Linked DNA regions of Diceros bicornis minor. The protein of the gene in region 2 interacts with the protein of the main gene of each other region in a pairwise test. Links are inferred from orthologs where the notes say so. Each region holds a gene or a part of one and is shown on either strand. Other genes may lie near its edges.

Region 1 (6,954 bases), on a different chromosome or scaffold from region 2:
GGATAAAGATGTGGTGTATATATATATATACAATAGAATACCACTCAGCCATAAAAAGAATGAAATCTTGCCATTTGCAACAACATGAACAGACCTTGAGGGTATTACGCTAAATGAAATAAGTCAGATGGAGAAAGACAAATACCATATGATTTCACTCATATGTGGAATCTAAAAACAAACAAAATGAGCAACCAAACCAAACCAAACAAAAACAAACTCATTGATACAGAGAACAGATTGCTGGTTACAAGAGGGGAAGGGAGTTGCGGGGTGGGCAAAATGAGAGAAGGGGGTTAAGTATATGGTGATGGATGGTAACTAGACTTTTTTTGGTGATCACTTTGTAGTGTATACGGATGTCAAATTATAATGATGTACACTTGAAGCTTATATAATGTTATATACCAATTTTACCTCAATTAAAAAAAAAAGTAGAAGTGTTTGACAGAGACACATTGGCCAAGTTGCTCGATCTCTTACAGTTTCAATGTCCTCATCCTGAAATTGAGAAACAGGGTACTTCTACCACAATTTTCCCACTTGCACCTAGCTCTCCCCTGCCCTCCCCCCAGCACAATTCCTATGTCCTAGGAAGGAAAGGCCAGCCCTGTGTTGAATGAGGATTAACTCATTCAACTCCTCAGGTGAGGAGTAACTCACATGTTTTGCCAAGAAAAAAAGTGTCCCGGAGGGGTAGGGGTTTTGCTTTTACAACAGTGCTCACAGTTCTGCACCTCTGGGTTTCTGGGGAAAGAGCTACATGAAAAACGTTTGAGGTGCTTGCCCTGTGGCATAGTGGTTAAGTTTGCACCCTCTGCTTCCGTGGCCTGGGGCTTGCGCGTTTGGATCCTGGGCGCCGACCTACACACCGCTCATCAAATCATGCTGTGTTGGTGACCCATATACAAAATAGAGGAAGATGGGCACAGATGTTAGCTCAGGGCCAATCTTCCTCAGCAAAAAGAGGAAGATTGGCAGTGGATGTTAGCTCAGGGCCGATCTTCCTCACCAAAGGGAAAAAAAGTACAAATAAAATTATGTTTTAGCAAAAAAAGAAAAATGTTTGAATTCTCACTTCCCCTATTTCCCAGAAGTAACTTCACAGCTGTCCTCATGTCAAACAAGGGGGCCTCATTAAACCACACTGCCCTCTGTGTGTCCTATTCAGAATGCCCTGCTATCCTGAGCCATGCCCCAAGGCCAGACCAGGTCACTGGGACATCCCTGAGGACCAAGATGTGACTATAGGTCAGTGTTAAATACACTCACTCTGCAGTGAGACAGCCACGCTTGAAATCCCAGCTCTACTACTGAGGTTGTGAGACTTGGGCAAGTTTCTGGGCCTCAGATTTCTGGGCTTCTGCTTTGTAAAATGAAGATAATAGTAGTACCTGTCTATGAGTACAGTCTTTGGCACAGAGCCACATTTATTGATAGTGATTGTTATCTTCTTCATCAGAGCCTCTGCATTCAGAAGACTCAGGCCACTGAAGCCTGGCTCCTCAGCAAATCCCACCACTCTAGGAGAGGCACTCTGGATGAAGGGTTCAGGCTAAGAAGGGCAAGAATGCCTCTGCAAAGATCTCCAATTCACACCTTGATTCAACAAATATCCATCATTTGTCGACCAAGTGCCAGGACTAGTGCAAAGCCCCAAAATGCAGACATGACCATCACACAGTCCCTCAAGTACTCCAGTAGGTTGGGGAGGCAAACACAGATCCAGAACTACAGTCCATAGTGAAGAGGACCCTTACAAAGGAGAGACCAAGGACTTACGGGAGCTCTAGAGAAAGGAACAGCTAGCCATGTAGTAAAGAGGTCATGGGGCTGTTTCTTACACGGTTGACAGTGTTGCCAGGCAGATAAATGCAAAAAAAACAGTTTGGGTAGCTATAACTGTCTAAGCAGACACTCTGGGAGGAACACAGATTTTGCCTAGGGATTTATCTTACCTTCCCCACCAGGAAAAAGACGTAGGTGTTAGAAGCCAGCCTGTCCCAGGAGCAAAGGGACAAGACCCAGACCCTATCCCCAGCCAGAGCATGGTACACAGCAGGTGCTCAACAAATGGCTGTCCAGGGGCTGGCTGGATGCTGGGCTTGGAGAGAAGATGTGGAGGACAGGATGATGGTCTGCAGATATTTAACTAGATGTTTTGTGGAAGACATCAAAGACTTCACGGATTTCCTGCAAGCGGTGGAATTAAATTCAAGGGAAGGAAGTTGATTTGAAGAACAACTCCCTTTCCTGGATTTGTTTGTACTTGTGAATTTGCCTGCGTAATAGCTTTCTAAAAATTAGAGGACTCCAGTAAAAATTCTTTTTTTTTTAAATAATTTTATTTATTTTTTTCCCCCAAAGCCCCAGTGGATAGTTGTATATCATAGTTGCACATCCTTCCAGTTGCTGCACGTGGGACGCGGTCTCAGCATGGCCAGAGAAGCGGTGCATCGCTGCGAGTCCAGGGTCCGAACCCCGGGCTGCCAGCAGCGGAGCGCGTGCACTCAACCGCCAAGCCATGGGGCTGGCCCTCCAGTAAAAATTCTTAAGCTCTACCAGGACTCTACTCTCTTGGAGCTGTGAAGGGGATTTGGGGGGAGACAACATCAAACACTTACACTATAATGACAGCTGTGACAAGGGTTTTGAAGGCGAAGTATATGGTGCTATACGCTCTTATAAAAGGGACACTGGTCCAGTAGTTCTGAGAAGGGGACACTGGAGTTGAGATCTTGAGGATGGTGTTTATTAAGGAAAGGGTGCTGGTTGGGTGGAGGGACAGACAGAGACAGGGCTCTAGGCAGAGTAACGGCCTGTGCAAAAGCCAGGAGGAGGAAAAGAGCCGGGCTTGTTTAGGTAGCAAAGAGAAGATCGCAGGAGAGATGAGTATGGAGGGGCACCTTTCCAGTCGCGGCTGGAGAGGTATGCAGGGATTAGACCATGTAGGGCTTAATAGGCCACAATTCGGATTTTGAGGGTGAAGAACATGGTTTTTAACTCACCAGTGTTTCCTTAGTAACTAGTAGATTAGTGGCGCTCAAAGTTTGGTGAAAGAATTAATTTATCCTAAAAATAATGCAACTCACTTTTATGGAGAACAGTGAAATAATTACTATATTTGTCTCATTTTTCTCACCCATAAAATGGGGATAATGGTCATGGCAAACAGTCAGTAAGGTAATGCACGTCCAGTGTTTAGCCAGCGCTCGTTAGTGTGAGCCGTTACTGGTGAAAAGGCATCCTGTGTCTTCTTAGAGTTCGGGGTAGGTTTTTTTTTTTTTTCCTTTCTTTTTTTTTTTGGTGAGGAACATTAGCCCTGACCTAATTAACATCCCTTGCGATCCTGGTCTTTTTGCTGAGGAAGATTGGCCCTGGGCTAACATCCCTACCCATCTTCCTCTACTTTCTATGTGGGACGCCTGCCACAGTATGGCTTGATAAATGGTGCATAAGTCCGCGCCAAGGGTTCTGGGCCTGCGAACCTCGGGCCACCAAAGCGGAGCGCGCGAACTTAACCACTAAGCCACGGGGCCAGCCCCATGCTCCGTGTAGTTTTGAATGTTTGTCCAGGAGGTGTTAGGGGTGGGGAGGTTGCGTTTGCTGAGTGGAAGGTGATGCTACTGGCCTGGGCGGCAGGGGTCGGGATTGAGTCACCTTCTTGGCTGGAACTGGGCAAGAAAGAAACCAATTAGTGCCCGAGCGGGGGACGCTCCTTCGCTTGCTTCTCCACCCAGGTCTCATCCCGCCTCTAGGCTTCGCCCAGCGCCACTCAACCCTCCCTTCGTCTCTACTCTTCCCCGGTCCGCCCCACGCTCCCTTCGCCTGCTCCTCGCCCCGCCCCAGCCCCTAGCTGCGCCCGTCGCCCCGCCCCGCCACCCCCTCTCGACGTGCCCCGCCTACTCGCTTCCCCTTCCGCCCTGCGCTGCGGCTGCGCGCTCCGTGTGGTCTTCCACGCCCGGGGGTCGCGTTCCTGACTTCCAGCTCCACCATGTGGAGCCGACGGCGGGGCAGCCTCATGCCGGCGGGCTGTGGCCTGGAGGAGCTACGGCGCCGCCGGCGGGAGCGGGAGGCAGGTGCGGGCGGGCGAAGGAGCACGGGAGGATGAGGGTATGGCGGGAAGAGATAGGGTGATGAGGCCCTCGGATCGGAGTCGGGGTTCTGGGTCCTGGGCGCCCCTCTCACGCTCAGTCGGCTCCTTGGCCCCCAGTACTGCGGAAGGCACGGAGGGAGCAGCAGCTGATCAGCAAGAGGCTGCTGAGAGACGACGCCCCGGGGGAAGCCGAAGAGGGATGTGTGGCCATGATCCTCGGGGAAGCCGAGGTGAGGGGGCAGGGTGCGCGGTGAGGTCCACGCCGGCTGGCGCCAGATTCCTTCCTCCGGTACCCGAGGTCCGCCCCCAGACCTGAACGCGGTCGGTTCAACACCTCCATCCATCCAGTGGGCCAAGCCAGAAACGAGGCATCATCCTCGGCGACTCCGCCCCTCATCCTCATATCAATACATCATCAAGTCCTATCCGTATTTTACCTCTTAAAGAGCTCTGGAGTCTTTACCTGCCTCGCCATCGCAGCTGCCACCACCCTCTTCTCTGGATACTTACAGCAGCCTCCTAACAGGTCATCTGCATCTCTGCTTGCCGTTCTCAAATTTATTCTCCATACGTCAGTCAGATGTGTCTTAATAACACACAGAGACCAAAATCCTTGCTGTGACCTATAAAGTCCGGCATGGTTTAACCATTTCCTACCTCCAACTTTATCTAAGCTTGCTCATCTCAGCCAAACTGTCACCTTTTCAGTTCTTGGAACAATATATCAAGCTCTTTCCTGTCTTCAAGGCCTTTGGATTTTCTGTATCTAATGTGGGTCCCTTTTGGTATGCTGTCTTGATAGCCTGTTTGCAGAATATTAATGATACTAATTGTTTGCTTGTTTATTATCGTTTCTTCAACTAGACTTTAAATCATGGGAACCTAGACCCTATCTTATTTGTCATCACTGAAAACTCAGATGCCTGTACAACATTTGGCATATAGTAGATGCTCAAAATTTATTGAATAAGTGAATGAAATAATTGGTTTTAGCTCGTTTATTCATTCAGCAAGCATTGGGCATTCCCTGTACTTATATTTTCTATGTTTACATATACCGTTTACAGAGGACGCCTAGGTTATACCATTTATTCATGTGTGCTTACGTTATGCCAGAACACTGTGCTGGGTACTGAGGTACGAAGAGATGAAAAAATAGTCCCTTTCTTTGAAGTGTTCACAGCCCAGTGAAGGAGACGGATGTGCTACCACCTGTCATAGAGGAAACATGAAGCACAATAGAAAGCTCTAAGTCTGCCAGAGGAAGCCAGAAAGAGCTGACTTCCCAGAGGCAGTGACAGGAGTAGAGCTCTGAAGGAAGTGGAGGACCTGGGGAGGGTATGCCAGGCAGAAGAAATAGATAGTACAAAAGCTTGGCAGCATTACAACACAAGTCATGTTATGCTAGGTGTTGTTGGAGTGCAGGTTGCATGGGGAGAATAGCTGGAGGGGTGGGTTATGCTGAGAGGTTATCCTTGAAACAACTCTGTAAGAAGGCGGGGTAGATGTTATTTCCATTTTTCAGGTGAGAAACTGAGGTTTAGGTCCCTTGTAGAGTAAGTGGCAGGGTTGGTATTAAACCCAGTTCTGATTCCCACTTGTCCACTCTACTGCAAGGTTGGTGCTGATTAGCCATAGTGTGAGTGACAAGTTCTAGGGATGGTGTGATATGGGAGGGCTCATAGGTGAAGTGGGCAGAGCAGGACTTATGACTTGCTTTTTGGCAACTGTGTGTTGCCATCTCTCCTCTCCGTGCCCTGGGGTCCAGATCCAGCAGTTCCTGCGGTTAGCCCAGCGGGGGACAGAGGAAAAGGAGAGAGAGAGGGCTCTGGTCAGCCTTCGTCGAGGCTTGCAGCACCCTGAGACGCAGCAGACCTTCATCTGGTCAGTGTGGGTGGTGTGAGTGGGTGGCTGGGGCTCTGAGGATGGACAGGAGTGTGGAAAGGATGGGCCACAGGCTGAGCAGGGCTCTGGTGCTCACTCACGTAGGCTGGAGGGAAGCATGCGGACTCTGGTCGGCCTCCTGACCAGCAACCAGGCTCTCCTGCAGCTTGAGGCGGCTCGGTGCCTTCATGAGCTCTCTCATTCTGAGCAGTCTGCGGTGGCTGAGGCCTGCCTGCCAGCCACTTCCTACCTTCTCACCTACCTCTCCGGTCACAGCTCAGACTTTATAGTAAGCCCTGTCCCTTCTTATCTTGTTCTTGGCTTGGATTTAAAGCTTGTGCTTTTGGGTCCAGTTTGAGCTGGCAGGTAGGGAGAAGAAGAAAACCTGTTTCCCCTGATGCCCACAGCCATACATACACTCATCATCTCCCACTCCCTTGTGCCCAGAGCCTCAAGGACAGGGCTGCTCCATCCTCCCCACTCCCACCCCCACCCTTACCCCCACCCCCACCCCCACCCTGGCCCCAGAAGGCCAAGCCCAGTGCTTTTGTTGTCCTGCTCTCAGGAGCTCTGTCTGTATACACTGGGTAACCTGATCGTGGAGAGTGAGGCTGTGAGAAGGCAGCTCCTGCCACAGGGCATTGTTCCTGCCTTGGCTGCCTGCATCCAGGTGAGTCTCCACCTCCTTTCTCGCTCTCCGGGTAACCCTCCCTTCACTTCTTTCCACATGCCCCACCTGCTTTGGCTGGACAGCTCCAGCCTCTGCCCTGGGCTGAGGGGTTGAAAGGCTCAGGAAATTTTATGGCGCAGCTTCCAGAGTCAGATCTCTACCCTGTCTACTTCCAGTCCCCCCATCTGACTGTGCTAGAAGCCCTTGGATATGCCTTGTCCCAGCTTCTGCAGGCTAAGGAAGCTCCAGAGAAGATCATCCCGTAAGTGAAATTATGCCTCCAGACATGCAGGCAGGGGTGACC
Region 2 (7,515 bases):
TGTAGGTCTCTTGCTTACCCCCTCTTTACCTCTAAGATTAGATAAGAATTTTTAGGACTAAATACTTCCCAATTTTTTCCTGAACATTTTTAGTGGAATCAATGTCATTAAGTATATTTTAATGACAAATTTTAATCTGTAGCAAATAGTTTAAATCTATCAAACTCTTTAAGAAAAATTTAAATTACAAAATGACAGATCCTTTTGTGCTTCCTGTAGAATTTTACAAATCATCTGAAAACTGCTTTTCTTATTCTTGCACATTTTCCTCTATGTACTTCCCTTAGACCTCATAGATAATTCGTCTTCAGGTTCTTAATGCAAATGGTGAGCTTCAATTTTCATCATGTTTTCCGCTTCAACAGAAAGCATTTAACAAAATAAAAATTCAACTGCCATCAGAAAAAGTTGCTTCAGAAAAGCTTTAATTTTATCTTATCAAAATTTTACTTTGGTTACAGAGCAATAAAATTAAAACTTCCACAAAATTTAAAATTCTAATTTCACCATCACAAAAACTAAAAATCCTCACAGATATAACATCATAAAATGACCTAAGTGAATTTTCCTACTTATAAAACACTGACTCTTTCTAATCTTTTACAGTAAAATGCTGAAAGCAGCCAGGATAGTGGAGGCCTGAACTAGGAATCTTAGAAAGAAGATCCAAGGACTTCAAAAGTTAATATGGCTACACACCCACTACTAGAGCTAAAATGAAAGACTGACACTATTAAATGTTAGCAGGGATGTGGAGCAACAGGAACTCCCACGCACTGTCAGTAGAATTGCAAAATGGTACAAGCACTCTTTAAAAATATAGTTTCTTATAAAACTAAACCTACAGATGGGGCTGCAAAACGGTACAAGTCCCTTTAAAAATTTCTTACAAAATGAAACCTACAACTAGCTATCCTAAAACCCAGTCATTCCACTTCTAAGTATTTAACATGAGAGAGAAAAGCTTTTGTCCAACAAAAGATCTGTACAAGAGTGTTCACAGCCAACTAACTGGAAACAGCCCAGGTGACCCTCAACAGACAAATGGATAAATTATGGTATATTCACACAATGGAAGACAGCACAACAATAAAAAAGAACTACTGATATACACAACAAGAATGAATCTCAAAAACGTTATGCTGAGTAAAGAGCCTTACCCCAAAGAGTACATAGCATATAATCCCACTTATATGAAGTTTTGGAATACCCAAAACTAATCCATGGCGAAAAAAATCACAACAGTGGTTGATGGAGGGGAGAGCAACTGAACTGATTGAGAAAAAGCAAGAGGGAACTTTCCAGTCAATTATGAAGTTATACATCTTGATAAGGCTTTGGATTGCAGAGATGTATATGTATTTGTGAAATTTCATGGAATGGCAACCATGTGCATTTCATTGCATGTCAAATTTACCTAAAAAAAAAAAATTGCACTCAGTTTAATGACGGACACATTGCTGAAGTGCTCTTAAAGGTAACATGTACCGATATTTACAACTTACTTTGAAATGCATCCAAAAAATAAAAAGGACTGATAAACGATTAGCTGTGTGACAAAGCAAATAAAGCAAAATGTTAATTGTAGGTGATGGACATACAGGTGTTCACTGTACAATTCTTTCAACTTTCTTGTATGTTGGAAAATACAAAAACGTTAAGGAAAATTTTTACAGGAAAATTGACAGACAAAAAAATGTGATTCCCTGGCTGGTAAAAGTTTCTCTCACTTGATGCTACGCACTACTTACTGCTTCACAAAACACACCACCTTTCCGAACTATATACACCAGGCCCTAATCATTTACTATCTCTGGGAAACAAAGGTCGATTTCGGGAACTGCCGTTTCCTGATAAACTTCACATTGAGATCATCAGAGATCAACTCAATTATTATGGAAAATATCCTGGGATGTATATTCAGGAATAAGCTAAAACAATTTGAATTCTTCAAGATTCTTAGTTAACTGCAAAATTTGTATTCCTCAACAGATTTTAAATAGTAAATTATTTGTAATATTCTCCACTAATTCCACTTTTGTTCTCTCTTATTGGATTGCAACCGCTATTATCTGAATAACATAGCTATCATCCGTCTCAAGTTAAACAAAAACCTCCCCAATGACTGGCATCTGAGGGATGACAAATATAGTAAAACGGAAACAGCAAGTCATCAATGAAAGTCATCCACCTTTCTCCTCAGGCCTAGTACTATTACTTAAGATGTGGCTGAAACCAGTTTCTACGTCATAATTTTATTTCTAAAAATTGGAAAGTGGGAAAGATTTTAGCAGTCAAAACGCATATCTAAATGTACACGTGCTCCTCACCCCAAAATCTACCTTAACCCGCGGCAAGGTAAAACAATGAGCACCCCATCCCCCGCTTTTTTTTTTTTTTTTTTAATTCACGAGACAAAACCGCAGACTAGGCTAAAGCGAACCCTCGCCCCAGCCCAGCCTCCACGCCTCCACCCCGCCCGGAGCCGGCGGAGGGTCCCTTCCTTTGTGAGGAGCAAGAGGGAGGCGCTGGGGGCGGGGAGCCGGGGAGGGGGCCGGGGGTCTCCGAAGCAGGAGGGAGGCGCGGACGGCGCGGCGTCGGCGCGTCCCACAAACAGGCCGCGCGGCCCCGCCACAAACCTCTGCGGTGTCGCAAGAAGCAAACCCACGAACTTGGGTGTGATCTCATTTGGGATAAACCCCGGAGAAAGGCCGAGGGCACCTCCGGGGACACCCCCTCCCAAGCCCTTCTAAAACGCCTTCGCCTGCCGGGGGCGGAGGTCCCGCCGCCATCCCCACCCCACCGCAGCCTGAGCCCAGGGCGGCCCGCACCTGCTGGACGGAGCTGTTCTCGGGCACAGCGAACTCCTCCTTCTCCTTCGGGGTCTTCACGGTGACTTTCATGATCTTGGGCTCCGCAGAGGCAGCGGCCGCGGGGGCGCCGGCACCCTCGGCCGCGGCGGCGCCGTCCTGGGAGCTCGGAGGGCCGCCGCTTTCACTCTTCTCGGCCATGGCGGCGGCGGCAGTGACTCAGGCGCGCAGGAGGGAGCAGGCGAGCGAGGGAGAGCCAGGAGACGCCAGAGCCGACCGGCCCGGGCAGCGGAGAATGCGGCGCACGCCGCCGCAATGGCAACGGGCGCGGGGCCACCCTGGCGGGCAAGGGGCCGCGGAGTCGGTGTGGGCTCCGGCGCAGGCCCGGGTCGGGCGCTCGGCAGCCGCCGTGTGTTCAGACGCCGCTTGGTCGCAGCGACATCCGCAGCCGCCGCTTCCTCCTCCCGCCCCTCCCCCCACGTCCCTCCGCCGGCGCCGCGCGGAGCACGCCGGGTAAGGCGGCGGGCGGCGTCGCCGAGTCATATTCGGCGGGCGTCGCTTCGAGCCACGGATGCTGTTCTTGGCCTTTCCCGCTGCATTGCTCAAAGTCTGGGCGCGTTCAGAGAGAAGGACTAAAAGCCAGCTGGAGCGGCAAAAGTCAGTTCATTTTTTTTCACCCCTCTCACTACAAAAATAAATTCGCGGGTTCTAGGAGGCACTATAATGGCGCACGGGGATGACGTCACGGCTAGCGAAATTACTAGAAAGAAGGCTCGACCACTGGGCGCTGCGGCCGGGGATGCGCCTGCGCGCTGGTGGTCCAGGAAGTTTCCCCACCCCGTCACCTTAGGCACCGCGGTGGCCGTGCTCGTGTCTTCGTCTCCGCAGCGCCCCTTCGTGCGTCGCGTACCCTGCTGGGAGGAGGCTGGGTAGTAAATGCCTGCGAGCTGTTCTGTTGTTGCTATTTTAATACGGTTCATTTTTGCCTACTTGGAAGACTTAAAATGCTTGATCGTATTGCCTGGGGTGCGGGAGTTATTAATGAGGGAAAGATCCTCATCATAACGAAAGGAAAATGGAGTAGATGCCTGTAGCCACCCTGCGCAATCCCGCGGAGTCATTGCTTCTTGGCCAGGGCTTCCGCCCTTGGGTCAGCCAGGTTCGGTCAGGTGATCAGAACACCTGTGTCGACAGTGGACTCCGCTCCCGCGCCGACAGCCGTGCGCGAGCATCCCCGAGTTGTCTGTGAACACTATCCCCCAGAATGTTTGGGACGGAAACGGTGCCCAAGGAGTGCCCGCCCCACTGGAACAGTTTAATGTAGCTGAGGTGTTCATTTTATATTCTTCTATCCGGTTAAGTTACTGCGCCATTTCACACTTCAGGTGCTGTTCAAGATAGTTGTTCAAAAACTATTTTCCCTGTAATATGGGTACAAATAAGAAACAGGAAGTTAATTTCTCCCTGAGAATTCTAAATTTGAAATGACGTCATCATTTGCCTTTAAAGATGACTTGCAAGGAATATACAACCCAGAACATTAACTTTATTAATCAGTATTGCGCAAATGTAAACTCTGACAGCTAACTATAACCCAAATATGCAAAGATACGCTCTGTATTTGTTTTTAAAATGTCCAACTCTGTTGTGGGAATAAATACTCTTGCATTAAGACTACTTTTTAGCAGATCCCCTTTGGAATCTGGGTGTAAGAGAAGTTCTGAAAGTATAAGTTCAAATACATACATAGACATCATCAGACAGCAGCTAAATTTCTCGCAGCATTGTTCAGTAACATGAAGAAATTACACAAGGCTCTCTGCTGAAGGATGTCTTCTTGTTTATGTCTAGATGTGGGGTAATCGTTACTTCTCAAGGTAGAAAGTTCCACCATTGGACAACCAATCATTTATCTCTAATCCTGCACTTATAAAAGTGTAATTATCTGTGTCTACATTAATTTCTAAAAAATTCTTATGTGTATGCACAAATTATGAAATTATCTGTGAGAATATACAGTATAGTTAGTTATTTGTTATGGCACTTTTTAGAAATAATCCTACTTTTTAAGGAAACATTGGAGGTGGGGGTCTAGATCAGGGATCAGCAGTCTTTCAGGGAAGACTGGATAGTAAATATGTTATGCTTTGTGGCCATACATTCTCTGTCTCAAATCCTCAGCTCTGCCCTTGTAGCACAGAGCAACCATAGACAATACATACATGAATAAGTGAGGCTGTTTTCCAATAAAACAACTTACAACAACAGGCATAGGATCTGATGTGGCCCACAGAGTCTAGATGTCTATTTGAGGCATTTTCTTCTGAATGATTTTTGTTTATTAAATGGTCAGTCTGAAAAAAAATTACAAGAGCTTATTTATTTAATTCTACAAACATTAAGTGAGGACAATTAATGTCCAAATATTGTTGAGGATAACAAAGACAAATAAGACTCAGTCTCTGCCCTCAAAAAACTTAGTGGCTAGTTGGATGGAGGTTGGGGAGAGAGAGGGAGGGGAAGATAAGCAGTGAGGTGCTGGTAAATGTTTAATAACCAACTCTCCAGAAAACAAGCCAATTTATAGCATTTGCCAAGTTCCTTGATATAAATACTTGCTAAATAGCCAATCTCAAGCTACCAACTTGAGGTCAACTGGCTCACAAAATAACCTGAAATTTCACCAGTCAGTTTCATGAGCCAATATGAGGCAGCTCTAACTGGATAGGTCCCTTTTTATAGGTCCCAATATTCAAACTTAAAGTATACAAGGTTATTATTCACATAGTAGAAGAATACTTCCTTGACAGAATGAGTTAATTCTCAATAAACAAGAATTTATTGAGCAAAGTTTAATCCTATGTCCAGGAACTTATATAACTTCAACACAAGGTAGTACATATGTCATGTCAAAGAAGTGGTGTAAATAACATGCATCATCATTTTACTCTCGTACTTTAAATTCATCATAAGCTTCCACTGTCTGGAAGATAAAACCCAAGCTTCTTAACTAGGATTTCAAGGCCTGCCAAACTAACTCCTGGTCTGTCTTTCACGCTGCACTCTCATTACTCTCTATGGATAAACTCCATTACAGGCAAGCATGTTTATTACCATCTATAGAAGAACTTGTACATTATACTTTTCTCACCTCTGATCATTCCTTCAAGTCATTACACTCCCCACGTTGTGCCTGTTATTGCTACCTCCTCTCTAAAACCTTTCTTGAGCACCCAAGCCTACAGAATCATTTTTTTTCTCTGACCTTTGGCATAATTATTTGTATGCTTCACTTGACTATTTGTCACTTGTAATATTGCTTCCATTACCTAAAACTATTTCTCCTGCTACCAGTCTAGTTCATACCCTCATTAACTCTGGCCTTCATTCCAGCAATAACCTGCAGATTCCTCTGTCTCAGTCTAACGTCTCATCCTCAAAACTATTTTCTGTTGATGCCATATGTTATCCTAGAACTAAGCTTTGATCATGACACCTAGAAAATTTTCAGTAGCTCTCACCAAAGTTTTAGAATAATGTCTAAACTTTTTGGCATGGCATCCAGGGCCCTCTGTGACAACAAAACCTTGCTCATCACTCATATCTTACCCTCAAGCAAACAAGTCCACTAAGTTCTCCAGGCTTGTCTTGTGCTTTCCCGCCTCAAGCCTTCAACACAACATTCTCACTGCAAGTAGAAATTCTTCCCCCTCATTCTGACTCCATTGTTGTTTTTCCCCATCCTTCAAACATCACCTGAAATGTGACTTTCCCTAAAAATTTTTCCCTGATAAGCTTTTTTTTGATCAGAAATATTCTCTAAATACTCTACATTCCCATATAGCTTTATTACCTTTTTGGTGTCACTTATCACATTCTGCCTTGTATTACACTTAATTGTATGCATATTTTAGACATTTTTTAGACAAGGTGCTTGAAAACAAGTCTTAAGCATCATATATACCACACAGTGCCCAAACTAATTTCTTGGCATGAGAGCATTTACTGTTGAACTGAATTGTTGAACTGTCATGTTTTCCACTAGAGAGGAAATTCATTTAGAGCAGTAGATCATACTTTACACCCCTGTCTCACCCAAGGTTTATAGTATAGTGACATATAGATAGATTATAGACAGATACAAACACACATACTTTGAAACTTACTTGCTTTGCAATAGGTTCAGAGGAAGGAAACATTATTCGCTCCCTGCTTGGGGTGGGGGAAAGCGGGAGAGTCAAAAAGGATTTCGAGGGAAATGATTTGAGCCAGGCCTTGAGGAATGGATATGATTTGTTAAGGGTGTTGAGAGGGGCAGCGTCGTGAGAAAGATGCAGTAGTGGGAAACAGAAACTCTGCTAGGGCACTGATCTTAGTGTGGTCCACAGCCTAGGAACAGTCCACAAATATCTCTAGGACTACTTCAAAACAAAGGGAATAGGGTAAGATGTTCAAGTTTCTAAGCCTTAGGGCTAGGGAAGAGATGGTGGTGAGGAGGGGTGTTTACTTTATTAATTTGCCAACTAAAATTTCAGACCACTGGGTAGAGTGTGCAAATACATCTCCAGTCACCACAACCTTTGAATAAAAGCTCCTGAGAAGGAACCTGCAGCTGTGCCAGGAACTGCATAACATACAGAAGCAACAAGAGGGCCAGCAGTGGCACAAGTGAAGGCGATATCGCAAGCTTCTCTGAAGAATACAC
Region 3 (7,836 bases), on a different chromosome or scaffold from region 2:
TAAAAATATGCTATCAACTCAACACACATTACTATAAAATACTTAAAATATTTAATTGGTTATGGAGAGGAAGATGTTAAACGCACATTAGTACTAGAAAGTACAGTCTCTGACTTATGATGGTTCTACTTATGATTTTTCAACTTTAGGATGGTGCAAAAGTGATATGCATTCAGTAGAAACCCTACTTCAAATTTTGAATTTTGATCCTTTCCTGGGCTGCGATATGCATTCAGTAGAAACCCTACATCAAATTTTGAATTTTGATCTTTTCCCGGGCTGCGATATGAGGTATGATCCTCTCTTGTGATACTGCGCAGGGTCAGCGAGTCCTAGCTCTCAGTCAGCCACCAATCATGAGGATAAACAACCGATACACTCACAACCATTCTGTACCCATCCACCCATTCTGTTTTTCACTTTCAGCACAGTATTCAACAAATTACATGAGATATTCAACACTTTATTATAAAATAGGCTTTGTGTTAGATGATTTTGCCCAACAGTAGGCTGATGTCACACGTTCAGGGTGGGCTAGGCTAAGCTATGACGTTCGGTAGGTTAGGTGTATCAAGTGCATTTTCGATTTACGATATTTTCAACTTACACTGGGTTTAACAGGACTGTAACCCCATGACAAGTGGAGGAATATCTGTAGGCAACGCCTCCCTGATGCCTGCTACTAGCATTCATTCCAAGAAGGTTACACAGGAATAGACTCAGATGACAGCAATTTTGTAGGAGAGAAAACTTATCAGCACTATTGACATACAAAATTAATTCTAAAATCATAACTTTGGTTGAACAAATTATCTACCTATTTTTAATCACAATTCAACTAATTATTCAAGTATCATCTCTGCAGGTTTGTTTTTCAAATTATTTCAATTCACCCCTCCAACTGATACAAAGAACTTATTTAAGATAAACTACTCAATCTGTTTTCCCAAGATTCCCTGAATTTGGAGAGATAAAGGAAATACTGTAATATCCAGGCCACCACATATGAGTAATGCTACAAATAACAATTTAATCATTTCTTCTGCTCAGACTTTGAAAAGAGAGATTTTCCAACAATCCAGGGTAAACTGAACTCGACAATAGTTCACTTCATGACACCATGATCCTGTCTGCTATATCCCAGTGTTCTAGTTCAAATTTCACTTCTAAATCTTTTAAACACTTCCCTTAATTTATCAACGATCCTTCCTCTAGGACCAAATCTTTTCAATACAAATATTACTTATGAAATGACAATGTCATATCTCTTGACTTTTACGATGGACTCATATATAGATGACTTGGACCATCTGAATTATTAGCCACTATGGTCAATTTTAGACAGTAAAAAAAAAAAGTTAACATTTGTCTTTCCTTACAAATGACAAAACTTCGTCTTGATACATGATAGCCAAGGGCACTAAGTCTTGTGTAACTATTTCAAAAGTCCACAAGGAAGCTTTCCAAACCTGACAACCAAGAACCCGGCCAAGTCCATTGTGAAATTATAATCCTGACTATAATCAAGCTGAGCACTTCACTTGATTTTTCAAAGAATATCCAAAAACAAGAAATGATTTTTAAAAATAAGTATTATAATGTTAATAGCTGCTCCACATCACGGACAGAGCTCACATATCCGTTCCTACCTGAGATGTTTTCTCTTTATGTTGCTGTCCCAAAAGGTTAATTTATTATGTTTTTCCTAGTAAGTTGTTTATTGAATGAATAAAGTGAAGAATATGGAGTAACACTGTTTATCTTACTTGAGCCTAGTCTGAAAGCAACCCCCAACCATCCCAAAATTCAGTAAAATGTTTGGTGCAGCAAACATTCAATTATAAAACATCATAATGAATAATCACAACAGAGAACGACCACAGCATATCACTCGGTTTAAAAAAACAAAAAAAAAAGGTAAAAGGAACGAAAAATAAAGAAAAGCAACATAAAAGGCAGAAGCAGCAAAAAAGCAAGCGCAAAACTCCCCTGCAGATCATTTCCCCAGCTTCTCCAATCCGACCTTAGTCCTCTATTTTTAAAATCTTCCTCCGACTGGACCAAGGTCCATTCGTTTAGCTCACTCTTTGTGGGAATACTTTTTCCTACAAAGGTCCTTTTGCAAAAAGTATTTCTGATTTTAACATGATTTACCGCTTTGCAGAAGCAAATTTTTGCTACTCATTAGGACTCCAAAACAGTTTCGCGAGGATTAAAAAAAGAAGAAAAAAGATTTTGTAAATTATATGAAATAGCCCAAATTCAAGTAACTGGAGAGGTAAGATTCCAAAGAGCAGAAAGACTTCTGAAATTCCAAGTCCGCTTCCTCCATCCTCACCCCAAAAGCCCACAGAAGGCTTTTCATCCCTAGCACAAGGCCAGTACTCAAAGCAAGCGAAAAATGTTCTTTAAAAGCACTCGTAAGGGGCAAGCCAAGAAGGGTAGCGTGTGACTGAGGAGGCAGCAGGGCGACTGACTCCGGGCCTTGAAACCGGAATGGCTTAAAGAACGCAAGCCCCAGGGAGTTCAGGCCAGATTTCTCCTGCACCCACGCATGGCACTTGAGATTCGCTGAGCTGGGCCAGCAGTGTATTTAGGATCTGAAAACTCTGCAAGTCTAAGCAAGCCAGAAGATGGCTACGGAGGCGGGAGCAGGAGCCTCAGGAAGGAGGAGAGGGGAGCTGGGGAGGGAAGGCCAAGCGCTGGGCCCAAGCGGGCCCTGAGCCCCGCGAGCCGCAGCAGGAGCGAGGGGGCGGGCGGCCCTGGATCCGACTCACCTGCCCATTCACCGAGCCCCGGTCCGACCCCCGCCTCGTGACCCAAACCCCAGACCCGGAGGGCCGTGAAGAGCGACCATGAGATGCGCAGGGCCAGGTAGGCCACGGTGGCCGCGCCCACCCAGTACAGGAAGCAGGCGGCAGGCATGGCGCTCTCCATGGCTTTCAACCAGGCCTCACTAGCTCCGTGAATGAACAAAACCTATGAATGAACCCAGGAACAGGCGCCGACCGTGACGGTGAGGACGACACTAACAGGCGCAGCTCCTACACCGTTTTGGGCCTAAACCCCGCCCACGACGCCATATCCGTGCCGCTATTGGTGATCTATCTTTCCCTCTGCGCATAGTGCGTCAGCTATTGGCTGGTTCACTGCCCCGCCCACGAACCCTCCCACGCCCCTGGTGGCGTCCCCGTCCTGAGGCGGCTGATCGCTCACCTGCCAATCAGGCTTCAGCCCCGCCCAACGCGTCACCACGCCCCCAAGATTCCGCCAGAGGGCGGCAAATCTCACCGCACCAAATTTCCCAGGCCTCTCATTGGCTGCAGCGGTCCTCGCGACTGCGGAGGCTGCGCTCCGATTGGCCAGCCAGACCCAGCTTGGTTTGAGCTCGGATTTGAAGAGGGAATGGGATCAGAGAAGCCGCTAATGAATGGGAGGATTGTAGTAAGAATTGTGCGTGGAGCTGTGGTTTTATTTCCAGCTCTTGATTAAACACTTCTATATATATCATTGTTGAATATGCTGTCATTGTTTCCATAAACTGTTCCGGATAAAGGTTTGCAGCTGCTGTTTCTGTGCCTTCGCCACAGCACACTTTCGCTCTGGTTACGCTCACTTATTGCGAGCCTTGTAAACGCCAGCCCCCCGCTCCCCCCCTCGCCCCCCACCGCTGAGCATTAAACAACATAGATCCCAATGTCTTGGAGTTCAAGGTCAATAACTTCATGGACTCAAATAACTATCATACACAATGGCATAAGAGCTGTGAGATGAATGAAAAATTTATAGGCACACAGCTTGATGAACAATTAGTTTGGGGAAGGGAGTCCATCTTTCATCTGGGCCTTAAAGGACAAGAGAGATTTTTCATTTTTTTGTTCCGTTTTTTGTTGGGGCGGGGCTGTGGAGTTGCAAGGGCGCACGAAAGTGTGAAGTCCAAGGAGAGGTATGAGAACTACCTCAGCAAAGTTCCAGAGGAGTTCTCACAAAGTAAGTTTAAGAAATTGTGTAATGCAGTAAATTGCTTCACATTTATTCTTTCATCCTCCCATCAAGAGTTTTTGTTTCCTTTTCTGGCATGGAGTTGGGCTCATATGAGATACCGACAATTTTTTTCTTAGCCAGTAGGGGCTGCTGAATCAAGACTTGAGAGTTTTTTGAAAGGCAGGATCTTAAGGGTAATAATTCTAAGGGTCAACAGTTCAACATATCTTAAAGCTCAAGTCATAATTTTATAACATTTGGTTTAAAAGCCTTTTCCCTTCTTGCCCAATCCCCCACTCATTCTCCACTCTCTTATCAGATTAATTAGGTATAACTCTAAGGCTGTTACTATTCTTCATAAACTGTCCATTTTCCCACAGAATTCAGCCATGTGAGTTGAGCTGGCACCATATTTTGCTTTTAATTGAAATTGATACCTTTGGTTGGGGTTGTCTGTCCGTTTCAACTGAAGTCCCACCACTCCTCTTCCTCAGCCTCTTCCTCTTGTCAAAATCTTTGCCTACAGAACCGCCCCAACTTTATATATCCCAACTCATCATTGCTCACCGACAAAGGGCCCTCCAGATATTCAGTCCCATTCTCCTTAGAATAGAGTGGGAGGAGGGGAAGAGAGTTATCCTAAACTAAAAATACATATTTTGTTGCATTTGTATATATGTCTACAGCCCCCACTACAATTTATGGTTATTGAGAACACTATGCTGTGAATCCATAGGACCTAGCATAGTGCCTGGAACCTAGGGACATTCAATAAATGTCTGACAAATAAGTAGAAGTAAAGATTCATTCATTCAACAAATATTATCGTGGTCTAATTATGTACCAGTAACTGAGCTAGGTACTGGGGTATAGGAATGGTCAATTCTTAGTCCTTACTCTATCCTTCAACAATGGGTAGCCACTGTTTTCCTCACCAGCTGCTCTTTCCCAGAGTCCTTTGCTGGCCCCTCCTCTTGCTGGGCTCTAAATGATGCAGTGCCCTTGGGCTCAGACCCCAGCTCTCTTTACTTCTCTACACAGTCTCCCTACATGATTTTATCCAATTCCTTGGTTTTATATATCAACTGCAAGCTGATGACTTCTGGCCAGGCTCAACTTCTGCTCAGAGGTATATATATAAGCATATAGTGGAAAGTGATTACAAAATGGAGTCACACATGTCAAGGGTACCTAAGATGGAGCTGGGAAGCCATTAGGGAAGTGGGGCTCATGCACGTCTCTACCTAGGTGGAATGTAAACTTTTGACCTGTGCTTCACCATTATCATTCCGACCGTCTTCCAAGAAATATACTCACTCCCATAGATAAGAACTTTCTGGCTTAGAGATGGCCTTAGCAACCAACCGCGTATAGCCAAGAAGTAACAGTCGTTGCCAGCATCAGTCACAAATCTTGCAAAACAATCTGTGTAACTTGGCCAGAATTTATCTCTTTTTGCCTTTATAAACTCTTGCCTCTTTTGTTCTCCTCAGGGCACATTTGAGTTTCTACTCAAATCTGTGTCTCCCGAATTGCAATTCTTAAGACCCAAAGTAAACATTTTTGATTCTCTTACAGTTTATGCCTCTTATTCATTGACAATATGTATATCTCCACCTGCCAATCAACATCTCCACTCAGACGTAAAATAAAAAGAACATCTCAAATTTAACATGTTTAAAAGAGAACTCTACCCCCACCCCGCCTACACATACCTCTCTTCCCCTCTTCCCATCTCTGTTCGAGGCGCCACTCTTCACCCCCTTTCTAAGACAAACCTGGGAGTCAACCTCGATTCTTTTCTTTCTAGTACGTTCCCATATCCAATTCTTCAGCAAGTCTTGTTCCCTCTACCTCCAAAATAGATCTTGACTGACTGCTTCTCCCCGTTTCTGCTACTACAAGCTCATCCAAATCACAGCCATTTCTTGCCCAGAATATGGCAATAGTCTCCTAACTGGTCTCCCTGAAGCCTGTCTTGGGGTTTGTTCTTCATGAAGCAACTAGAGTTATTTTTTTTTCCAAGTAAATTGGATATCATTTCTTCTGCTCAAATCCCTTCAAAGACTTTATATCACATTAAGAACAAAATCCTCCAAGACTAGTTTATCTGCCCTGACCTCTCCAGCAGCATCAATGACCCTCTCATGTGCTCACTTGATTCCAGCCACACTTCTTGGAGGTCCTCAAATAAGTCAAGTTCATTCCAGTCTCAGAGCAGTTCTACTTCCTGTTCCTCCTCCCTGGAACCTCTTACTCTCTATTTCCCAAGAATCACTCCTTTCTATTAATCAGGGGTTTTGTTTTGTTTTGTTTTGTTTTTTTGGCTCACACATCCTCCTCCTTAGAGTGGTTTTCTCTGACCACCCTTCATAAATATCCCAAATAGCCTCCTCTCCTTTGCCCTGTCGCTACTTATTCTTTTACCCTTATTTGTTTTCCTTATAACACTAAATGCTTTCAAATTATTTTTTGGCTTTTGTCCATCTTCCCAATAGAATGTAAGTTCATGAGGACAGTGACCTTTTCTTGTCCACCATTGTATCTTCAACTAACACGTGCACCTAAGAGTACCTGACATTTAGTAGGTATGCAATAAATACATGCCTGTTGAATGAATTAATAGATGAAAATAGTCTAGCAGGACAGACAGACATTAAGCAAACATCCAACTAATTATACGGTAAAAACTGTAGTAAGTACAAAGAAGAAATGAATAGGGCTTAAGGAAAGAGGATAAAGGAAGGACCTAATTTAGATGGGGAGAGGAGACCGCCCTGAAAGCCCTTTCCAAGGAAGCAGCATTTGAGCTAGGATAAGCAGCAATTAATCTGTCAAAGAGTAGGGTGGTGTAGAGGAGAGAGCAAGAAATACCCTTTAACAGTTTTGTTGTGGTTTTGAAGAATACATGTATGTGCCTCTAGCACCTACCACGGCATCTGACATAAAATTAAATAGGAATAAAAAATAATTGTTGATTTTCTATTTTTTAAATAAATAAGAACAAGTACCATAGAAATGGACTTTCCATTACTGTTAGAATTCATATTGAGTATGTTATTTTAACTCAAGGAACTTTGAAGATTGAAACCATTTCACTTTGGTATCCATTCTTTTTTTATAAAGTCTGGGTATTACCCATGCAATTAACAGGAATAACCTTTATTAAAAATGCACACATTTATTCTGATCACCTCAGCCTCCTTTTAGGAATATTAACTATTCTATTGACTAAAAGGAAAAAATAGTGGTTTCACAGAGTGAAGTGATATGTGCCAGAGTTAAGCCCTTTGGGATTCAGATGGTTACACACTTTTGGAAATGAACAACAATCTTTTGTCTCTGGATAAAATTTATGAATCACTAAAAACTCGAATGCATACAAGACTCTATAATGATGGTCTACTCCTATTCAGTAGTATTCTGTGCTAAAATTTAACATATAGATCAGGATTCCCAGAGATTGGCAGAGCCATACTAACCAAACCTATGAAACCATTAATAGCTCTCCAAACAAGTAATGCTATAAAACTTTGATCTTTGATGTCAGGTATATCTGGGACCAGATCCCGATTCTACCTCTTATTAGCTGTATGATCGTGTGTGGATTTAGCTACTAAGCATGCAAATTCTACATCTGTTAAAGTGGGACAATGTTACTTAAGCATTTAGCAAAGATTGGCAGATACAAAGTAAGTGTTCAATGAGGTAGGTACTACTCTTATCCTCATTTTACAGATGAGGAAACTGAGGCTTAAACCATTTAAGTAACTTTCCTATGGATACACAGAGAGTAAATAGCAGAATTGGGATTTCAACTAAAAACATGTGGTTCTGAAATTGTGTCTCAAG
Region 4 (7,126 bases), on a different chromosome or scaffold from region 2:
CTCACAGCACTGAGCAGACTGTCCTGAACTTTGTAAGGATTTGTTTAATAAATATTTGCTGATTGATTTCTCTCTTGGGCTGTGGAGCATAAATTACATGGATGTCTCATCACTCTTCAAGATTTGTGTGTGTGTGTGCGCGCACGAGTGTGTGTGAAAGAGAGAGAGAGAGGGAGGGAGAGGGAGAGGGCAAGAGATTGAGAGAGAGAGATCTGAGCATCAATAAATAATAAACTCCAGGCATGTAGTCTGGAGCCAGAAAAATCGAAGACACAAGCCTCAGCCTTGTACGAGTAACCCACACTTAGTTTGTCGTGTATTCTGGCTTATAACAGTACCTACTCCAACCACCTCCTGGGATTGGGAGCTTTGTAAGAGATAACATGGACTTAAAGTGCCTTGTGATTGTTATCTGGTCCACATGAAATGGGACCAGAGAAGGAAGTGGAAAAGAGGCTCTAAAAGTGGTGTGTGGAGAAGGGATCATAGCTGACATGACCCACTGGGTTTGGTCCCACCTGTCTGAGGCCAACAGGTTTTGTAGCAGTGGACTATTGGGTTTCCAAATATTTCTAGGCAGCAGGCATCCTCCTCTTCATCTCCCACTCCTAGCCAAAGCCATCAATTCTACCTCACCTTTAAAACATCTGAACCCATAGCCTGGCTCCCTGTCCCACCCTCTCCTTGGTTCAGGCCCTGATCCAGCTTCGGCCTCTTTCTGCCTTTGGCCTCTGACCTCCTCCCCCCTATCTACACAGAGGGCAGTTATTGCCCTAAAAAGGTAAATTTGAGGGGCTGGCCGGTGCCGTAGCGGTTAAGTTCATGTGCTCTGCTTCGGCGACCCGAAGTTCGCAGGTTCAGATCCCGGGCACCTATGCACCACTTATCAAAGCCATGCTGTGGTGGCATCCCATATAAAGTAGAGGAAGATGGGCACAGATGTTAGCCCAGGGCCAATCTTCCTCAGCAAAAAAAGAGGAGGATTGGCAACAGATGTTAGCTCAGGGCTAATCTTTCTCAAAAAAAAAAAAAGGGAAATTTGATCATATTAATTCTCTAAGAAACTATGTTGGATATCTAAACCTATATATCTACAGTGTTCTATATCTAAAGAGGGAAGCCCAGTTATGAGGAGGTGCAATCAGGTGAGAGATGTTGGGTGTGTGAACTGGCATAGATAGAGAGGAGGGAAAAGACTTGAGAAATAGTATATAAAACTATAAACTCTGTCTCTATCTGTATGTGTGTGTGTATATTGTTATACAAAATGTGAACAATGGTTATCTGTAAGATTTCTTCTATCATTTATCCAATATATATTTATTGCATGCCTACCACATGACGGGCACCGTTCTAACCCCTGCAGATATTGGGGAACAACAGATCCTGCCCTCTCTTTTTTTTTGTGAGGAAGATCAGCCCTGAGCTAACATCTGATGCCAATCTTCCTCTTTTTTTTTTTTTTGTTGCTGAGGAAGGTTGGCCCTGAGCTAACATCTTTGCCCATCTTCCTCCACTTTATATGGGAAGCTGCCACAGCATGGCTTTGACAAGCGGTGCGTCAGTGCACTCCTGGGATCGGAACCTGAGAACCCCAGTCCGCCAAAGCAGAGTGCACGCACTTAACCGCTTGTGCCACCAGGCCAGCCGCGATCCTGCCCTCTTGAGCTCACATTCTAGTGAGGATAGAAAGAATATACAGAAAAGTCAATAGGAAATCACTCAGGGCATGTGATAACGACTTGGGGAACTGCTTGAGATCAACTGGTCAGGGGAAAGTCCTCTGAGGAAGTGATATTTAAGCTAAACCTCAATGAGAAGGAAGAGTCAGCTGGACACAGTTCTGGAGAAGACTATAACAGAAGAAAAAGGAAGAGTAAAGGCCCTTGGGTGGGAAAGAGTTTGATATTTTTGAGGAAAACATGCCAGAGCGAGTGTTAAGCAGTGTACCGAGGAGAGCAGTATGTGATGGGGTGGAGAGGTAGGCAGCGGCCATATCATCTAAAGACTGAGTGGTCATTGTCACGGAGTTTGAATATTATTCTAAGATTGGAAGCTGTTAAATGGCTTTGAGCCAGGGAAAGACATAGAATGGTTTATATTGTAAACAGGTCACTTTGACCCCTGAGGGAAGAAGAGACCATAGGGCTCAGGGTGGAGGTACACATGAATGGAAGCAGGGGGCCAGGTAGGACAATGTGGCATTGGCTCTGGCTGAGTTGGTGGTGGTTTGGCTAGCAGGTGTCCAAGGACACGGAGAGAAGTGGCCAATTACAAGATCTATTTTGTGGGCCAAATCCACTGCTTACTGATGGATTGACTGGTGAGTGGCAGGAAGGAATCAAGGATGACTTAGCGGGGACGGTGATGCCATTTGCTGAGACAACTGGGAAAAGAATAGATTTGGAAAGAAAAGTTGAGTTCAGCCTTGGACATGTTAAGTGTGAGATGCTAGTCACTTCACGGAGATGACACATGGTAGTTGGAGAAATAAGTCTGGAGTTCCGGGAGAGGTCCTCGCTATGGCTTTACATTAGTGAGTCATCACCATGTGGCTGATATAACAGTCGTGGGCTTGGAGGGATCACCCACGGACAGAGCAGAACTAGATCAGAGAAGAGGGTGGAGGACAGCCCTGGAATACTCCAGCATTTACCAGGAGAGAAACCAGGGCTGAGGAGCCTGGAAAGTGAGGTTGGAGTGAAACCAGAAGGGTGGAGCTTGTCCAGATTGGGGAGGCGGTCAATTGTGCATCCCTGAGAGGCGGAGTAAGGCAAGGGGAGAAAAGAGATGAGAACACAGGATTTGGCAACATGTAGGTCATTATGGTGATTATGAAAAAAGCAGTTTGGGACCCAAGTCTGACTGCAGTTCAGGGAAGGAGGGGTAAGAAGGTGTAGTTGGCAAGGGTACATAGCTTTCAAGAAGTTTTGCTGAGAGGCTGGATCATGGATGTTTTTGTTTTTCTGTTTGTATATTCTTATTTTCCAACAATGAACATTTATTACTTGTGTAATAATAATAAAAACCACATTGCAGATAGCACCCCACTGTTTATGGGAGAAGGAGAAACTCCTCAGTAGAACACGGCAGACCTTCATCTTCCCTCCACTGAGACCTCTCCAACCCCAGGCTTGGTACTCTCCACAAGCACTAATCTCATGTGTGCTGTATCAGTATTTGCTTCTTGCCAGCTTCCACCATATATATAAATTCAGAGTCTGGTGCCAGGCATTAGCTGTGGCTGGGGCTCCCACTCCTCTAAAGCACCCCACTCCATCCCACCCGTGTCCAGGATCATTCGGTTACACACTTGTCACCCACCCAGTTTCACCAACGTATCTGTCCCCCAGCTGCGGACAAAGCTTCTTTCCTGCCCCTACTTCCCCGGTTCTTAGAGCAGCAGGATAGGATAACAGGGAAAAGAATAGGGCCTCAAAGTCAGACGGACCTGGGTTCCTACCTCCATCTGCCACTTAGCAGCTGTGTGACCTCGGGTAAGTCTCTTAACGGCCCCGTGCCTCAGTTTCCTCATCTGTAAAACGAGGTTAGTGCAACCGACATCCTATCAGCTCTGCGATGCCTGACATAAAGCAGCAGCTGCAGCGGTTCACTCTGCAACAGCGTTGCACAAATGCCTGGAGCCACAATAGGTGAGAATTAAGGTGGTTCAGAAATGTGACCTGGCAGTGGGGGCCCCTCACATGACCCCGAGATGTCAGATGGTGTCTCTCTCCCCGCACAGGGCGTGTGCTAGTCCCGTGACCCGTCTTTCCAGTCGCCCCACACTCCAGGTCTGTGATCATGCGCCCCCCACCCATAGCTTAGCCTGACGCGGCGCTGGCTCATGCGCCTTTCCGCCCCAGCCTCTCGCCACGGACCACACGTCCCATCCCTGCCGCCCGGCCCCGCCTCCCGCCCCGGGCGCTACCCTCCAGCTTGCCGGCTCGGGTGTCGGAGCGGCCGCGCCCGCGGGCCGTGCGCACTGATTGGCTGCGCCGCGGCGGCGGGCGGCCCGTGGCCGCACACACCCTCCCCCCGCAGCCAATGGGCGTGTGCGCGTCACTGACTGGGCGGCCCGCGAGCCGGCAGCCCTTCAATAAGCCACATTGTTGCACGAAACTCCAGCGCAGGAGTTTCCACTGCTAGTACCGCGGTGTCACCAACTGAGAAGATCTGTGGGCGAAAGCAGCCCGCGTGTGAGCCGGAGAGGTCTGATCGCCCTAGTGGAGCGGGCCTGCAGTTTTTCCCAAGCAGAGCCTTAGTGATCCTGTGGCTGAAGTTAGCGCCTTGACGGTGGGAAAACCCCACACGTCGCCGGGAGTGATTCTTGGGCGCCTATCTAGCAGTCGTGACTCTCAACACCTGTTTCTAGAGACCCGAGACCCTCCAGCCAGGTGCGCCATCGCCGCTAGCCTTTTTTTGTGTTCCGCCCGAACTCACCGCTCCCGGCCCCGCCGCCAAACCCGGGTAAAAAGCGGTCCGATCGCGCCGCCTTCCTCCCTCGCACGCGCTCCAGCCTCAGTTTCCCAACTCGCTGCTGTCCGGCCGCGGCAGGATGATCGCCTCGCATCTGCTCGCCTACTTCTTCACGGAGCTCAACCATGACCAAGTGCAGAAGGTAAGTAAGCGCGGTCGGGGGCGGCTGGCTTTCCTCTAACAAAGATACGTGGTCCCCGGCCCTCTCTCTGGGGTCGTGGCCGGCCGGGACTCACCTGCTTGACCCTGCGAGGAGCCGCGCCTTCCCCATTCCGGGCCGAGGACGCAGAAAAAGTCAGGGCGGCCGGGAAACTCCTGGGCGCGAGGAGCCACGTCCGCTAGGCACCGGCCGGCGTGTGCGCGCGTGCGAGTCTCCGGGGCTCGCGCACCGCGCGGCTCTCTCCCTCCCTGCCAGTCTGCTCGCGCTCGCGCTTTTTTTTTGTTTTTGGAGGGGCTGGTCACCCGGCACGTAGTCTTAGGCTGCTGGGCCCACGTGGGAGGGACCCCTCTTTCGCAGACCGAGTTCCGGCGAAAGCACGTGGGGAGAGTCGTGGCTGGGGGAGGAGGCTCCGCTGCCGCGTGGGGCTGCCTGGAGCCTCCTGCACTCAGGGACTGCGTTTTGGGGACATGCGGTTGCCCTTGGCGTTCCTCACCGCCTTGCGGAGGTGGGCTTGGGGAGAAGCCGACCTGGGAAGCAGCCGGGACAGAGGCAGAACTCCGCCCGCCGCGCCCCCTCCTCCGAACTGAGGCGTCCGGAACTCAGGCTCCGCGAGGGGCGTAGATCCCCCCTACCCCGATCTGCCTCCGGACGGCCCGCCTGAGTCCCCGGGGCCAGCCTCCAAGTCGGGGGTGGACTTCAGAGGTTACTAATGGTGCTCCTAAAAGTTATTCGGAGAGGACCCTCCGCCTCCTTTCTCCACACACACACACTTTCCTGTCTTCCTTGAGATTCTTGTTCAAAAGCAGCTTTTTCCTTTCCTAGGCCCGGACCTGTCGGTGCCCACCGCGCTCTCAGCAGCCCCTCAAGCCCAAGCTCTCCCTCCGGCCAGTTCATTTACATAAGAAAGAGCCTCCGGCCCAGCCGGGAGCGCAGCTCTCGGTGCCTCCGGGTATGGGGTGGGGGCGGGGCTGGGCTGGGCCCAAGGCGCTCTCACTCCGGGGAGAATTGAGTTTCAGAAATGCCTGGGATTTCAGGATTGGCTCCTGGCCCTGGGCCTCAGCTAGGACTTGAGAAGAGGGAATGGGCTGTGAGGGGGAGGTGGGGGTGGAGAGGGGGGGTGAGGGTGTTTAGAGCCGTGAGGCAATGACCAAGCGTTGCTCAATTACATACTTGAAATTTCTATGTCTTAGTGGGACCACATTTTTGGGAAAATGTCTTGACATTATCGTTCGGTGGGGCGACCTGCTTGTACTCCCATTCTGGGGATCCTGAGAGCAAAGGAGAGGAGGGTGAGTTACCATCTTGGTGTTTTCAGAGGCGTGGCAGATGAACCCCAAAAGAAAGCATGACATTACCCAGCCTCAGACTGGAGTAGGGAGCAGAGAGCGGCTGGTTTAGTTGAGTTTTACTCTGCTTACAGACGGCTGTTACTCTCTAACTCATACCTGGGATGTGACTCTGCTCTGCGCTTTAATTCAGTTTATTTAAGAACGTGTCTGTGAGCCGGCAGGATCTTGGCAACATCTTAGGGCTTCTCTGCCCAACAAGTGAGTTAACCCTTGGGGAAGACTCATCTCTTGGCAAGTCCTAAAATACAAAGCTGGAGGGTCATTAATCCAGGGGAGGTCTTCTCAGTTGGGTGAATATCGCCCCAGGACATTTTAATTCCCTTTACAAATTTCCTCTCCCCCAATCCAGAGGAAGGAGGCTAGGACCAGAATTGTGGAGTGTACCACCCTCCTGGCCTGGAATGGGGGTCATCGCTTTGGTCCCAGAGTGGAAAGAGAACTAGCCAGGGTATCTGGATATGAGTTCTAATCTCTATTTTGTGGTTTATTAACCACAGGACCCTGAGCAAGTCACTTTATCTCTGGACCACCGATTTCTTCTTGTGAAATGGGAATGGTATCAGTGGCCTTGTCCACTTTGTGGTCTTGTGATGATTAAGCACAGAGATGTGGAATCGTCTTTCTTGTAGGCTTCTCTTCTGTTCTTGCAGCTACCTTTCAGCCTGTGAGGTGTCTGGGGGACACTTTGGTGTATTTCCTCTAAATTACCAATAGAGGCAGAATTGAGTCTGGCCTTTGACTTGCCAGGTGTCAGAGCCTGGGACTAAGCCTCCTGGCTTAGGTGAGCAAGCTGTTTGATTCCACCTGCAATTCAACAGGAAGTAGGAAGAGAATCAGAGAGAATATTTTGGAAGCATCTTTCCAAGTTGCTGCTAGAAGGAAGAATTAGGAGAAGGATGAAGCTTGAGTTTAATTTTAGAGTCTTTTGAAAAGGCCTTGATTTGGACTCTTCTGAAATCCCCATCTTCTTACATATTCTGGGTTGTAGTCTGAGGCATGGGAAGCTTAGGTTCACCTGCCCAGAATTAGCCTTATCGGGGTCCCTTGTCTCCTGATGGACAAGCCCAGTTTTTTGTGCCATTAGGAGGAGACTAAGAGTTATTTGCTCACTTTTGCTGATTGACATTTTGAAATGCAA

What was found.
Region 1: the proteins of UBQLN1 (region 2) and TMCO6 interact in binary tests that used the Homo sapiens proteins (3 or more experiments, as listed by UniProt). The two-hybrid records come from large-scale screens. The link is inferred for Diceros bicornis minor from reciprocal best matches to the Homo sapiens genes UBQLN1 and TMCO6.
Region 3: the proteins of UBQLN1 (region 2) and HSD17B12 interact in binary tests that used the Homo sapiens proteins (3 or more experiments, as listed by UniProt). The link is inferred for Diceros bicornis minor from reciprocal best matches to the Homo sapiens genes UBQLN1 and HSD17B12.
Region 4: the proteins of UBQLN1 (region 2) and HK2 interact in binary tests that used the Homo sapiens proteins (3 or more experiments, as listed by UniProt). The two-hybrid records come from large-scale screens. The link is inferred for Diceros bicornis minor from reciprocal best matches to the Homo sapiens genes UBQLN1 and HK2.

Annotation. Positions count from the first base shown.
Region 1 is NC_080740.1:58,879,893-58,886,846, forward strand, and holds the start of TMCO6 (transmembrane and coiled-coil domain-containing protein 6), read left to right. Parts: upstream 1-3,935; 5' UTR 3,936-3,994; coding exon 3,995-4,079; intron 4,080-4,213; coding exon 4,214-4,326; intron 4,327-4,542; exon of another isoform or gene 4,543-5,765; coding exon of another isoform or gene 5,766-5,864; coding exon 5,865-5,980; intron 5,981-6,085; coding exon 6,086-6,269; intron 6,270-6,545; coding exon 6,546-6,650; intron 6,651-6,826; coding exon 6,827-6,912; intron 6,913-6,954.
Region 2 is NC_080761.1:10,137,896-10,145,410, reverse strand, and holds the start of UBQLN1 (ubiquilin-1), read right to left. Parts: upstream 3,022-7,515; 5' UTR 3,012-3,021; coding exon 2,832-3,011; intron 1-2,831. UniProt on the Homo sapiens protein: Plays an important role in the regulation of different protein degradation mechanisms and pathways including ubiquitin-proteasome system (UPS), autophagy and endoplasmic reticulum-associated protein degradation (ERAD) pathway.
Region 3 is NC_080770.1:26,214,903-26,222,738, forward strand, and holds the start of HSD17B12 (very-long-chain 3-oxoacyl-CoA reductase), read right to left. Parts: upstream 3,020-7,836; 5' UTR 2,938-3,019; coding exon 2,778-2,937; intron 1-2,777. UniProt on the Homo sapiens protein: Catalyzes the second of the four reactions of the long-chain fatty acids elongation cycle. This endoplasmic reticulum-bound enzymatic process, allows the addition of two carbons to the chain of long- and very long-chain fatty acids/VLCFAs per cycle.
Region 4 is NC_080751.1:14,204,589-14,211,714, reverse strand, and holds the start of HK2 (hexokinase-2), read left to right. Parts: upstream 1-4,121; 5' UTR 4,122-4,558; coding exon 4,559-4,621; intron 4,622-7,126. UniProt on the Homo sapiens protein: Catalyzes the phosphorylation of hexose, such as D-glucose and D-fructose, to hexose 6-phosphate (D-glucose 6-phosphate and D-fructose 6-phosphate, respectively).